Drosophila melanogaster: one gene and its partner. The protein of the gene in region 2 purifies or fractionates together with the protein of the main gene of each other region. This does not show direct contact. Each region holds a gene or a part of one and is shown on either strand. Other genes may lie near its edges. The genes, in order: HSPC300 and Cyfip.

What was found.
Region 1: the proteins of Cyfip (region 2) and HSPC300 purify together in Drosophila melanogaster (affinity purification with western blotting; 4 studies listed by BioGRID). This does not show direct contact.

Annotation. Positions count from the first base shown.
Region 1 is NT_033778.4:24,027,155-24,030,784, forward strand, and holds HSPC300 (haematopoietic stem/progenitor cell protein 300), read right to left. Parts: upstream 1,636-3,630; 5' UTR 1,581-1,635; coding exon 1,460-1,580; intron 971-1,459; coding exon 861-970; 3' UTR 563-860; downstream 1-562. Other genes in the region: EbpIII (ejaculatory bulb protein III), read left to right, coding at 1-241; CG3163 (uncharacterized protein), read left to right, coding at 2,224-3,330; CG30172 (uncharacterized protein), read right to left, coding at 3,547-3,630.
Region 2 is NT_033777.3:15,331,175-15,338,865, reverse strand, and holds Cyfip (cytoplasmic FMR1 interacting protein), read right to left. Parts: upstream 5,601-7,691; 5' UTR 5,478-5,600; coding exon 5,271-5,477; intron 5,201-5,270; coding exon 3,369-5,200; intron 3,314-3,368; coding exon 3,021-3,313; intron 2,961-3,020; coding exon 2,848-2,960; intron 2,794-2,847; coding exon 2,594-2,793; intron 2,533-2,593; coding exon 1,997-2,532; intron 1,936-1,996; coding exon 1,841-1,935; intron 1,788-1,840; coding exon 1,401-1,787; intron 1,343-1,400; coding exon 1,130-1,342; 3' UTR 501-1,129; downstream 1-500. Other genes in the region: Nagk (N-acetylglucosamine kinase), read left to right, coding at 1-282; Fkbp39 (FK506-binding protein 39kD), read left to right, coding at 5,838-5,853, 6,038-6,250, 6,318-7,162; mRpL9 (mitochondrial ribosomal protein L9), read right to left, coding at 7,309-7,691. UniProt on the Drosophila melanogaster protein: Plays a role in guidance and morphology of central and peripheral axons and in synaptic morphology. Also required for formation of cell membrane protrusions and for bristle development.

The DNA of each region.
Region 1 (3,630 bases), on a different chromosome or scaffold from region 2:
GGTGGACAACGGAAAGTGCACCCCGGAGGGCCGGGAGCTCAAGAAGTCCCTGCCGGACGCCCTGAAGACGGAGTGCAGCAAGTGCAGCGAGAAGCAGCGCCAGAACACCGACAAGGTCATTCGCTACATCATCGAAAACAAGCCCGAGGAGTGGAAGCAGCTGCAGGCCAAGTACGATCCCGATGAGATCTACATCAAGCGCTACCGCGCCACCGCCGAGGCCTCGGGAATCAAGGTGTAAGGCGGATCCCGGTTCCGGAAACTCTTGGTTATATGCACTGTTAATTAGGTCTACGCTTATATCTGATCATCAAAATTATTTCTACGATCGTGCTCGGAATAAAGAGATTTGTTTTTTTACCATACACCTGCCGAGTATTATATCGTTATCGAAGGGGGATTTGCCAGGCTTCAGAGAGTATATAAATTAACTATGACAAATGTAGCACTTAAGTCTAGCCTCCTGCTACTAGAACGATGATTAATCTAAGCACAATTAAGGTCTTAGAAAAAACATTCACAAGATTACGACTAGACCCTAATAAGCGGCTTATATATGGCGGGCGATTTGCATTAACATTGACAATAAAGGCAGCTACGGTTAGTTGGCAAAAACATCGCGTGCTTGTCTTGGTTCTGAGCTATTACTTATATTATTCTTAAAAGGGGCAATGAATCGAATCCGATGGCCGCAAGTAACTCAGCCGTGAAAACCTTCCTTCAAAGAACAAACAAACAATGTACAGCGAATTATTAATGTCACGGCAATTCACATTGCGAATCAAAAGATATTAAATATTAAATCAGTATTTTAATTACTTATAAATGTACAAAGCTTAGTATAAGGTTGTGGGCAGCGTTTACGTTAATGTTTCACCCTGGGCGACGCACGCCTCCAGATAGTCTATGCGCCGCTCCAGGATCGTTAGTTTTTCGTTCAGCACCGCCAGACGGGAGCGACAGGACATATCTGAAAGGATATGATAGCACACGATGATACAGTTTATAATGCCAACAGTGTACATAAACCCTATTAAGGATATGGGATATTTTAGCAACCCAACTACCTCGCACTCTTTGGCTTATCATTTATCACAGTATTTAGCGTATCTTAAATTATGCATAGAGCAACCGAAAAAGCTTATCCAATTCATTTAGGTGACTAATTCGGATAGAGATAAAGCCGAATTTTCGTTTTGAGCCCTCCGATGATGTTACATACATACATTTCCATATGTATGTAGATACATATATTGCTATACATATATGCCACCACGCACAAACCACTGTTTGTTTCTATAGACTTAAGACTTGAGTAAATAAAGTCATTGTCACTGATGAATATTTGTTAGTAATATTACTTATGCGTTCACCCACACCTACAAAGGAAGTGATAATAAACACGCGCACACACACATGCGTCAGAGGGAAGTGGGTGCTTCGTATGCAGGTTGCTTACCGAAAGAGTTCAGAAAGTCGGTGATTCTCTTTATGCTGGCAGTTATCACTTCGATATACTCCCTGTTCGCCCAGTCCTGGTGGATCTGCTTTTGGATCGCCTCTCTGTGAGCCCCACTCATCTTTATTTATTCCTATTGTTTCTGTTCGTTTTAATTGTGTTTATCTAGAGATGAGAGATGGGTTGGGCCGGAACAATTATTGTCAAAAATTTGGAACTATCGATAGGCATACAATTACCGTGTTCACCGTGATTCATTGAGATCAAATTTTTACTCCAACAAGAAATTTTAATGGTGTTTTACAACACTCCCTAAGCACTACTATTTAAAAATTACGCGGGAAAGTGCGATGAAAGAAATAACTTAATATTTTTGTCTGCCAACTATAGCGTGTAAATATGAATAATAAAATAAAGGTAAATAATAAAAGTATTGGGGTAGACACAGCCGAATATATAAAGAAACTTATCGCCGCAATATACAATTGTATATCGCAATATACATAGATATATTCGAATTTGCGTTTGCTATATTTTATATTAACCGTGGGTTAGTTTTCGATGTTTTATTGTTTTAAATGATATTTATTAAGGAATTACTGCAAACCAGCAAAGTATGTACCCATTTTGCGGTCCGATTCCGCGTGTTCCAATCGGAATGAGCCGAGCGAAACGATAGCTATTGATGCCACTCACGCACACGCACACATAGATAAACTAGGTGGCCCCGTAAACTACAGTGTTTTTCATTTGGTAAACAAAAAATGGACTTTATCGACGACTTCATCGAAGAATACAAAAGCAATCCGTGCTTGTGGAAGGCGGACTCGGCGGACTTCAGGAACCGCAGCCGCCGGCAGGAGGCCTACGCGAAGCTCATCGAGGTGGCCACCAAGCACGGGGAGATGTACAATGTGGAGCGAACAAAGCAAAAGATAAACAATCTGCGCTGTGCATTTCGTCATCAGCTGAGGAAATACAACGAGGTCAAGAAAAAGGGCGAGAAGTACGAGCCCTACTGCCCCAAGCGCCGCTACTTCGAGTCCCTGATGTTCCTTAAGGACGAGGAGATCCCCGCCGACAAGAAGTTCAAGCGCGAGCAGTCGGTCTGCCTGGACAACTCCATGCAGCTAGGGGCGCCAGAGAACGGCGACGAGTATTCCGACGCCGAGAGCCTGCACAAGCCCCCAAAGCCGACGGCAGACTCGATCAAGATGTCACCCAACAACAGCGCCAACGAATTCTGTGCCAACATCTTCGAGGAGGCCGCCGCCGCCGCTGCCGCTGACCCCGTTATCAGTATTAAAACAGTCAACAACGCCAACAGCCATGCCAGTGGCGCTACTATCAAGGAGGTCGAAATCGTGGTGCCTGCTAACAACAGGCTGCTGTCCGCCCGCAGAAAATCCGTGCCCGACTCCATAAAGTCTCCGCCTGGCGACTCCGAATCGCCGCAGTGCAAGCGCATCGTCACCCAGAACCAAACGAAACTGATCAGTAATCAGAGCCCGAGCCAGAAAGCCAATCACATAACACGGAAAAGGTCCTCCTCGGTCTCTTCGCAGATTTCGGAGGACAACGAGCCGCCTCCAGGTAAATTCCGAGCGGACATTTCCACCATTGACTTTGAGCGCCTCTTTTCGCTGGCCCTAAAGAGTGCGGACAGCCAGCTGGACGACCACTTCTCCAACTTCGGGAAAATTATCGCACACAAGCTTCGCTCCATGGACGGAACACAGGCTATCTACGCGGAAAAGATCATCGCCGATGTGCTGTACCAGGGCCAGATGAAAATGCTGTCCTCGCTGAGTATACACCAGTTTATGGGCGTGGACAATGCAACAGTTTACCTAGAGAGCCACAGTAAATGATGGCCTGGCCCCTTTAAAGACGTACTTTTAGAGTTTATGTAATAATAAGATGTAAAGAGACAGTCATGTGTACAAAGCCATGTTTTATTTAAAGGAGGGATTCCTTTCAGCCGCCTAATCCTTAGAAAATCCCCTAAGCTACGAAACCAAATGCTAGGAATGATGTCGAGACTAGTTTATTATATTCGATGCATGAGAATAACATTTAAATGCCATTTAGGCACTGTCGTACTTCCTTAGAAGCATGGCCCATACGTCCGGGTATCTAGTTTGCAGAAATGTGGTCAGCTTTTGCGCTTT
Region 2 (7,691 bases):
CTGGTCAAGTCCGGGGACCTAAGCGTAGTGTGCGTAGGATCCGTGTGGTCCAGCTGGGATCTGCTGCAGGAGGCCTTCATCAGTGAACTCGCTAAGACAACCATCGACTTCGACCTCAAGCTGGTGCGCATCACCAAGAGCAGTGCCTACGGAGCCTGCTACCTGGGTGCGGATAGTGCGGACTTCGATCTTCCGAGAAACTATGCCGACAACGTCACAGTACTGTACACGTACACCGATCCTCGAAAGAAAGCCAAAGCCACCAACGGCTGTAACTGTTAGATAAATTGTGTTTGACAACCCATTCCGCAATACACTTCCCAATTGCCAAATTCGCAATCAATATTCCAGTTAGTGGTACGGATAGGTAGTATTATAGCTTATCAAAAAATAAATAATTTTATCCTTTGACGAAATCCGCTGGAAAGTAAAGAAGTTTCCCTTTCAATCTTGCATCAAACTCACCTACATATACTTTCTAAACTTTTTTTGTTGGGTTTGTTAGAAATACGTATGAAAATTTTATTCGATAATGTTCATTGTATTAATTGTATGTGTCTCAATTGTTGGCTGTCGTGGCTTCTTTTCATGTATGTGGGCATACATGTGCGGCATCTTCTTTGTAATACTTTGATTGTGTTTAAAGCCAATTTGTTTTTATTTTCGCAGTGCTGTCAATTCAATTCTTTGGCTAATTTGATTCTCGAATCGGGAAGCAGAACATAAATGTATCTGTTTGTAGCGAAGGAATACATAGGCCAAAAACATAATATCTTAGGGAGCTTAGAATAGAGTATTTGGGATAATGTACGAGTAGCTGAATCGAATGCCGTAGCAAGTGAATCAAAATTACATCTACATGTATATATATATAATTGCTTGGATAAAACATTTAACGTACTGTAAGATTGAATGCGACATACCAAAAGAGATTTTCAATAAAATCGAATTCAAATAGAACCAAGACCGCCACTTTGACTAAAAAAACTGTCAAAGTTTCGGCAGCATAGCCAAGAAAACTTGGCTTTTCGGCTTCTACGTCGCTGTTTTCCTGGGGACTAATTCATCTGCGATTAAGTGTAACCTATTTGTATGCGATTAGCTTAAATGCATCCCTTTCCGGGCGACTTCAATTGTTTATGCTCTGCCGCAGCTTCTGGGGATCCTGGTAGTGCGACGAGGACGATATGACCGAGGGATGCTGAGGCGGTGGAAAACACCGCACGTGCTCCACATTTGAGCCCTCGCCATCGCCGCCCTTTAGATACTTGTTGAGAATGGAGAAGATTTGTGAGTTTAATACTTGGAACCGACGAATCCGATCCACCATTCGCTTCAATTGCTGTTAAGGAATATTCAAATTGTACTTTGGGCACTTTGGTAGTTATGTTAGAACTTACAATGCCCTTTACGTCCTCATCCTTGCCATCGACGCGCTGTACCCGCAGAATGTGGTAGCAAAAGTCCAGAGCCTCGAAGCGACGCTGCTGTCCCAGCAGTACGATCATGACGCAGCCAGCCCAGTTCAGACCTTCGCCGAAGAGCTCCTCGATGGTGTACTCCGTTCCCCTGACTGGAATGCAATAAACGAACTGCAGAGCCGACCAAAGGCGATGGAACTCCGAGCACTCATCCACGTGGATAATCCCGTTGGCCGGTGGAGGACCACACCACACAGGGTCGTCCAAATAGCTCTTCACGCGGTTGAGAATAACTTCAAAAATGCTGAGGCCACAGCAAAGACGCTCACGAGTCAGCAAATCTCCCTCTCGTGCTATCATTGCTTGCTGTTGGTAAAGATTATTATTATAAAGTTAATCAATTAAGTTTGGGGGCTCACCTTTGCAGTGCCAATCTTTTCCACGTTTGAAACTATCTGCAGATTGGCAAACTGTGCTTCAAGACGCTTTTGCTTAGCCTCCGGTTTTTCATTCTCTGAAATGGGTAGAGATGTAAGTAAGAAAAACTACCCATGAAAGCATCCACTTGTACATACCTTTGCAAAAAGGTCTGGGAAAGATGTTCTGGAAGAGGGCGGCGTGCAGTAGATCGCACACCTCCTCCTGCGAGAGCGCCTGTTCGATCAGCAGGCAAAAGATAATGCTGTTGCCAAACTCCCGGAAAGACTGAAATAGCTCTGTCTTCGCGTCCGGATATTGCACGATGTCTGTAAGATGAGCCTGATAGTAGCTGAGCACTCCAGGCGAACCATATTCGCAACGGGGTAGTTTGCATGACTTGGGCATGGCAATCATCAGCGTCTTGGTGAACTGCAGCAGCGAGCCCTGGATCAGTGGCTTAACAATGTCCTTCAGTATAATGTCCATGACGACTGCTATGCCCTGATAGCCCAGCAGGCGGCACATGGCATGGAAATGCGGTGAACCTACAAAGCCAGTGTACTGGCCATACTGTGTGGAATAGGCAGCATTCAGCTGCTTGGAACCCCACAGATAGTAATGGGACATTTGTGGCGGCTTCTCACGCTGAATAGCCTGTGACGACGAAAGATTCACTTTGGTTCGAATGAAACTGCAAGAGATAATAGTAATAATAAGTATTTTAAACAATAGAAAATTGGCGGCACACCCACCGATTCGTGGCTGCATTATAGCAGTAATTGACCAGAAAGTCGTAGTTCAATTCCACAAAGACGTGCAGTGTTATTCTGCCGTAAGGCGCCAGTACATTGTGGTTAGCCTCCTTTACCATGCCGTCAAAGTTATCCAGGGCCAAGTACTTGCTTAGCAACTTGTGGCAAATTCGATTCGCCTCTAGCAGGCCTTCGAGTTCCTGAAATTAAGCGAATTAGAGACCGATTCTAGACATCTGTAGGATTCCACTTACCACAATGCCGGTTATATCGTTGCCCTCGAAACGACTGATGGCCAACTCAATGCTCTTGTGCATGTTGGCGTTTATGCGTTGTGTGATCAGTTTGTTCAAGTCAATAGAACGGCCTTAAACGAATGGAGAAACCATTAACCAAAAGATCATGATGCAATGGGTGTTTTGCTTACCCAAAAGTTGGACATGTCGTTGTTTTAACAAGGTCTCATAACGATTATTGCGGGGATACGACTGGAAGTTGAAACCGAGTACCTCGCACTCCAAACGGAATCGCTTGTCCAAGAAGATGCTGCCCGCCAATTGCTTGTAATGGGCAAAGATCTGCTCGCTCAGCTTGTAGACAAACTGATCGAAGCACAGATTGACTTCGGCCTCCACTTCGTCGTACAGGAACTGCTTTCGGAAGACAGTGAGTGCGTAGTACGCCGAGTCGTTGTACAAGTCCAGGGGATACAAGACAAATCTGTGTGAGGCACTTAGTTAGTTCAGATCATTTCACCTATTCGCCATTTACTTACTCCATCATTGAGGGCTCCTTCGTTTGCAGAATGTGATCGGTTAGGATCCAGGGCATGGACATTTCAATCGGAAACTGAATGCGCTTCTCCATGGTGATCAGATCCTTGCACTCCTCGTTGTGCTGATGCCGCACCAAGCACTTGTTAACCTTACGACCCATGGTCATCTCCAAGTAGAACTCGCGATACCACAGCTGCGAGAGATCGCAGCACTTCTGAAGCGTGTCGCTGAAGTTGAGCAAGTAGCTCCAGTAGAACGATGTCTTGTGGAACGTGTCGATCTGCAGCAAACAGTTTCCGTCGATGTCCTTGCGCAAAGTGCGCTTGCCGCCGCTTTTGTCGGCAATCAGAGACTCCAGCATGGTGCGCACCATGTATAGCTGAGTGGAGGAAGGTCCCACATTGAGGCGAGGCACCTGGATGCGGAAGCCGCCGTCGGGATCCTTCTTGCCCTTGGCCACTGGATCGTCGGTGGGCTCATAGCCCTTTTGCCAGTCCGCCGATGTCTCTCGCACCGACATGATGATGCTCCGGATAAGATCCTTCTTATTTTTTACGGCCTTTCGCAGCGGTTCACGAAGCGAAAGCTGCACGAAGTCCTGCAGCTCGGAATAGATGTTACGCCGGATAGCCTCGCACAATACGGTTTCAATGCGCGCCATTAGCACCTGCAGTCCCTTTATCATGGCGATGACCTCGATCAGCGCGAACTTCTCTTCCGAGGTGTAATTGTAGCGGGTGGCCCGCTCGTACTCCTCAGCCTCCACGGGGCACTCCTTGTTCTGGTGATGATCAGTCGGATGCAGGAGCTTCCAGGAGTACAACTCGGTGACCACACTGGTCCACTCGGACAGCAATTGAAGGCCGCGCAGAGCCAGGTCGGCCGTAATCCGGTTCTCGGCATCAGAGGGATTCTCCTTGACGGTGGTGGTCACCTCGTTTGTGTATCGCGCCAGCTCCGAAATGTACTTGACGTGATCCTCGCGTATCTGCGGCAAATGCACCATTAGATCCGCCTGTGGGCTGATGGCGTTTGAGCTGGACAGCGGCCACTTGCTGGAATCGAAGTGCTTGCTGCGCTTTATGTAGTTGAAGGGAGCAATCTGCATGTCGCCGAAGAGGGGCACCACTTCCAGGTTCTTAAAGATGCGATCGATGCGATCCAGCCGTATCTTCTTCTTTTGATCAAGTTTGTTGATATTGCACGCATCGCTGTCCATAAGGAACAGGCCAAAGCCCATAACTTTTACCAGCATGTGCTTCTCCTCAGGGGTCAAGTACATCTTTGTCTCGAACATATGCACGCAAATGTTGACCACATCTGAGAGCAGATCCTCGTAGCCCACGATCTTCTCCAGCGTGTCCTTGACCGTGTCGCGAATCTTGTTCTGCGTGGCCAGGAACATGGACAGATTCTGCGACTCCTGCAAGGTGTGCGAGTCCGACATCACTTTGAGGAACTGCGCAGCTCGCCTGTAGGTGGAGTAATCGTTCTTCACGCTGGACTTCATGTTCTTCAGCTCGTCCAGCACGGCAAACATGTTGATAAACTTGCCTAGCGTCAATAGGTACGCCTCGGACACGAAGTCCTTGCGCTTCTCGGCGTGGCACAAGCGCTTCACCTCGCCGGAGAAGGCCTCGATGGCCTTGCGTTGGAAGTACATGAAGTTGAGCAGCTTGTTCACCTCCGGGGCTAGCACCTCGACCGTCTTCTCGTAGATCTCCACGCGATTCGGCTGCTCATTGGACTTGGGCTGCGGAATGGCGCGCGAGCAGCAGCGCCAGGTGTAGAGCATTACTGCGTGTTTCTGCCCCTCGTCCAGGAGCACATTCTGCGGGCGGAGAGAAGGGGTTCAGAGCTGTGAGTAATGCTAATGCGATAAGCCGGATACGCTAACTCACCAAGTTGGCATGGGTGGTGGCCTCCTCGATGTACTTGGCGATACCCGTGACAAATCCATTGCGATCCTCGAAATTCGTATCGAAGTTTGCCTTGTAGATAATCGAGCAGGGCTGCGCCTCGATGCAGGGCTGCTCGTCCGGCAGGGATAGCTCGTCCAACACCTCCACGTTGGACAGCGCGTCGGCTAGCGTAATCTTCTCCGTCATGCTGGGCTGCTTATCATGCTCCAGCAGCGCGAAATGGTTAAATTCTAACAAGGCGGGGCCCCAATCCAATCGACACAAATTTTTTTCGCCACAAATACAACACGACTTTTACCATTCGCCTGGGTGCGTGGACACGTGGCCATAATTAGCACATTTTTGCTGGCGGTTGGCGTCTACGATGTGCTTATGCTTATATGGCTGCGCACCGCTAATTTCGATAAGAGAAAGATAATCGATAAATACGGCGCATTGGCGGCACATCACATCACTAGCGTCTGTGGTTCCGTTTCGTTTTAGCGAACTCAATTTCTCCTATTTTATATTGCATTTTCCGTTAAGAGTAGCCTACAATTCTGCAAGATGTCGATGTTTTGGGGTAAGTCGAACTGATCTCACTTGCCCCCTCCGGGCTGGTTGTGCCAACGAGCTCTTGGGTGCTCCGACCGCGCTTTTATTGCCACCACGTGCTTGCCGCTCGATTTACCGGCAGCGTGGAGCGGCGCCATTTGCACGCCGATGTAAAGTAAACCATGTTTTTGACCAACTGTGTCCTCTTCCAGGTTTGAACATGAAGCCTGAGCGCAAGTACTCGCAGACGATCATCAAGTCGTTCCACATCTCGGGCGTGGCACTCGACAAGGGCCAGGAGGCCAAGTTGTACCTCGCTGCCGAGAAGCAGGAGTACATCGTGGCCACCGTGACCAAGGCCATTCCACAGGTTGCGCTCGACCTGAACTTCAGCAAGGGCGATCGCATCATGTTCTACACCGCCGGTAAGACCTTTTATGTCCACTATGTTCGCATGTTTATCCGTTTCTGACGCTTTCGTTCGTTTCACAGGCGACGCCAGCGTTTCTCTGTTGGGCTACTTGCACGACATTGATTCCGAAGATGATGAGGATGACGATCAAATGACGATCGAGAATTTGCTGAACTCCAAGGCGATCAAGAATAGCAAAAAGTCTGAAGATGATGAGGATGAGAATGAGAGCGGCGAGGAGGACGAGGAGGATACTGATGACGATAGCCAGATAATCGAGGAATACGAGTCCTTCCTCGAAAATGGTGAGGAGGAAGATGACGACGATGTTGATGAGGATAACGAGGAGAGTGGCGAGGAGGATGAACAGGACAGCGACGACTCCGAAGCTGAAGAGGAACAGCCAAAGGCCAAGGTTGCCAAGCTCTCTCCTGGCGCTAGCGCCAAGAAATCTGGCAAGGAGCAGAACGGTGTGGCCAAGAAGGAGGAGGCCAAGCAGCAGCAAAAGAAGAAGGAGAAGCCAGAGGCCAAGAAGGAACAACCCAAGGCCAAGGAGCCAGCCAAGCAGCAACCAGCTTCTAAGGATCCACGTACTATCACCGGAGGCGTGAAGATTGTGGATCAGGTCGTCGGCAAAGGCGAAGAAGCCAAGCAGGGCAAACGCGTATCTGTTTACTACATCGGCCGCCTGCAGTCGAACAACAAGACCTTCGACAGCCTCCTGAAGGGAAAACCATTTAAGTTCGCCCTGGGCGGCGGAGAGGTCATCAAGGGCTGGGACGTGGGAGTCGCCGGCATGAAGGTGGGCGGCAAGCGAGTCATTACCTGCCCCCCGCACATGGCGTACGGCGCACGGGGAGCTCCACCGAAGATCGGACCGAACTCCACTCTCGTCTTCGAAGTGGAACTGAAAGCTGTGCATTAGTGCACTATATTAACATCATATAGACTTGTAATCCTAAGTAAGTATCCACGTCGTACAACTTGATAAAAATGTTAAATAAACTCTGTTTTCCGGCTGTTCATAAATCAACAGTTTTGTAACAATCGCATGTATTTGGTATGGGGTCTCTAAGGGGTTTTTTCGGGTGAACATACATCCAGCAGGGGCTCAGACTGGAGTTTCCAGTGCTCGAGTACGTAAGGCAGCCGTTCGCTGGGATCTGTGCTCCAGTGGTGCAGACGACACTTGAGTCGCGCCTGTTCCAGCTTGTTTATGGTCACAGTGCAGTAGAAGTCCTTGTTCTCCTTCTTCAGGTCGGGTCCCTCGATGCGCTCCTTGGGCAGGGTAATGCACTCCTCGCGACAATAGAACCCAGTCTTGCGCAGCGAGGCCTTGATGTGCCAGGGCTCGAGCACCCATGGCTCATCCTTGTTCATGACCACCGCCAGCACAATGGTCTCCAGCATGTTGACCGTGCGCTGGGCGTAGGGGGAGCTGTGTTTAACAGTCG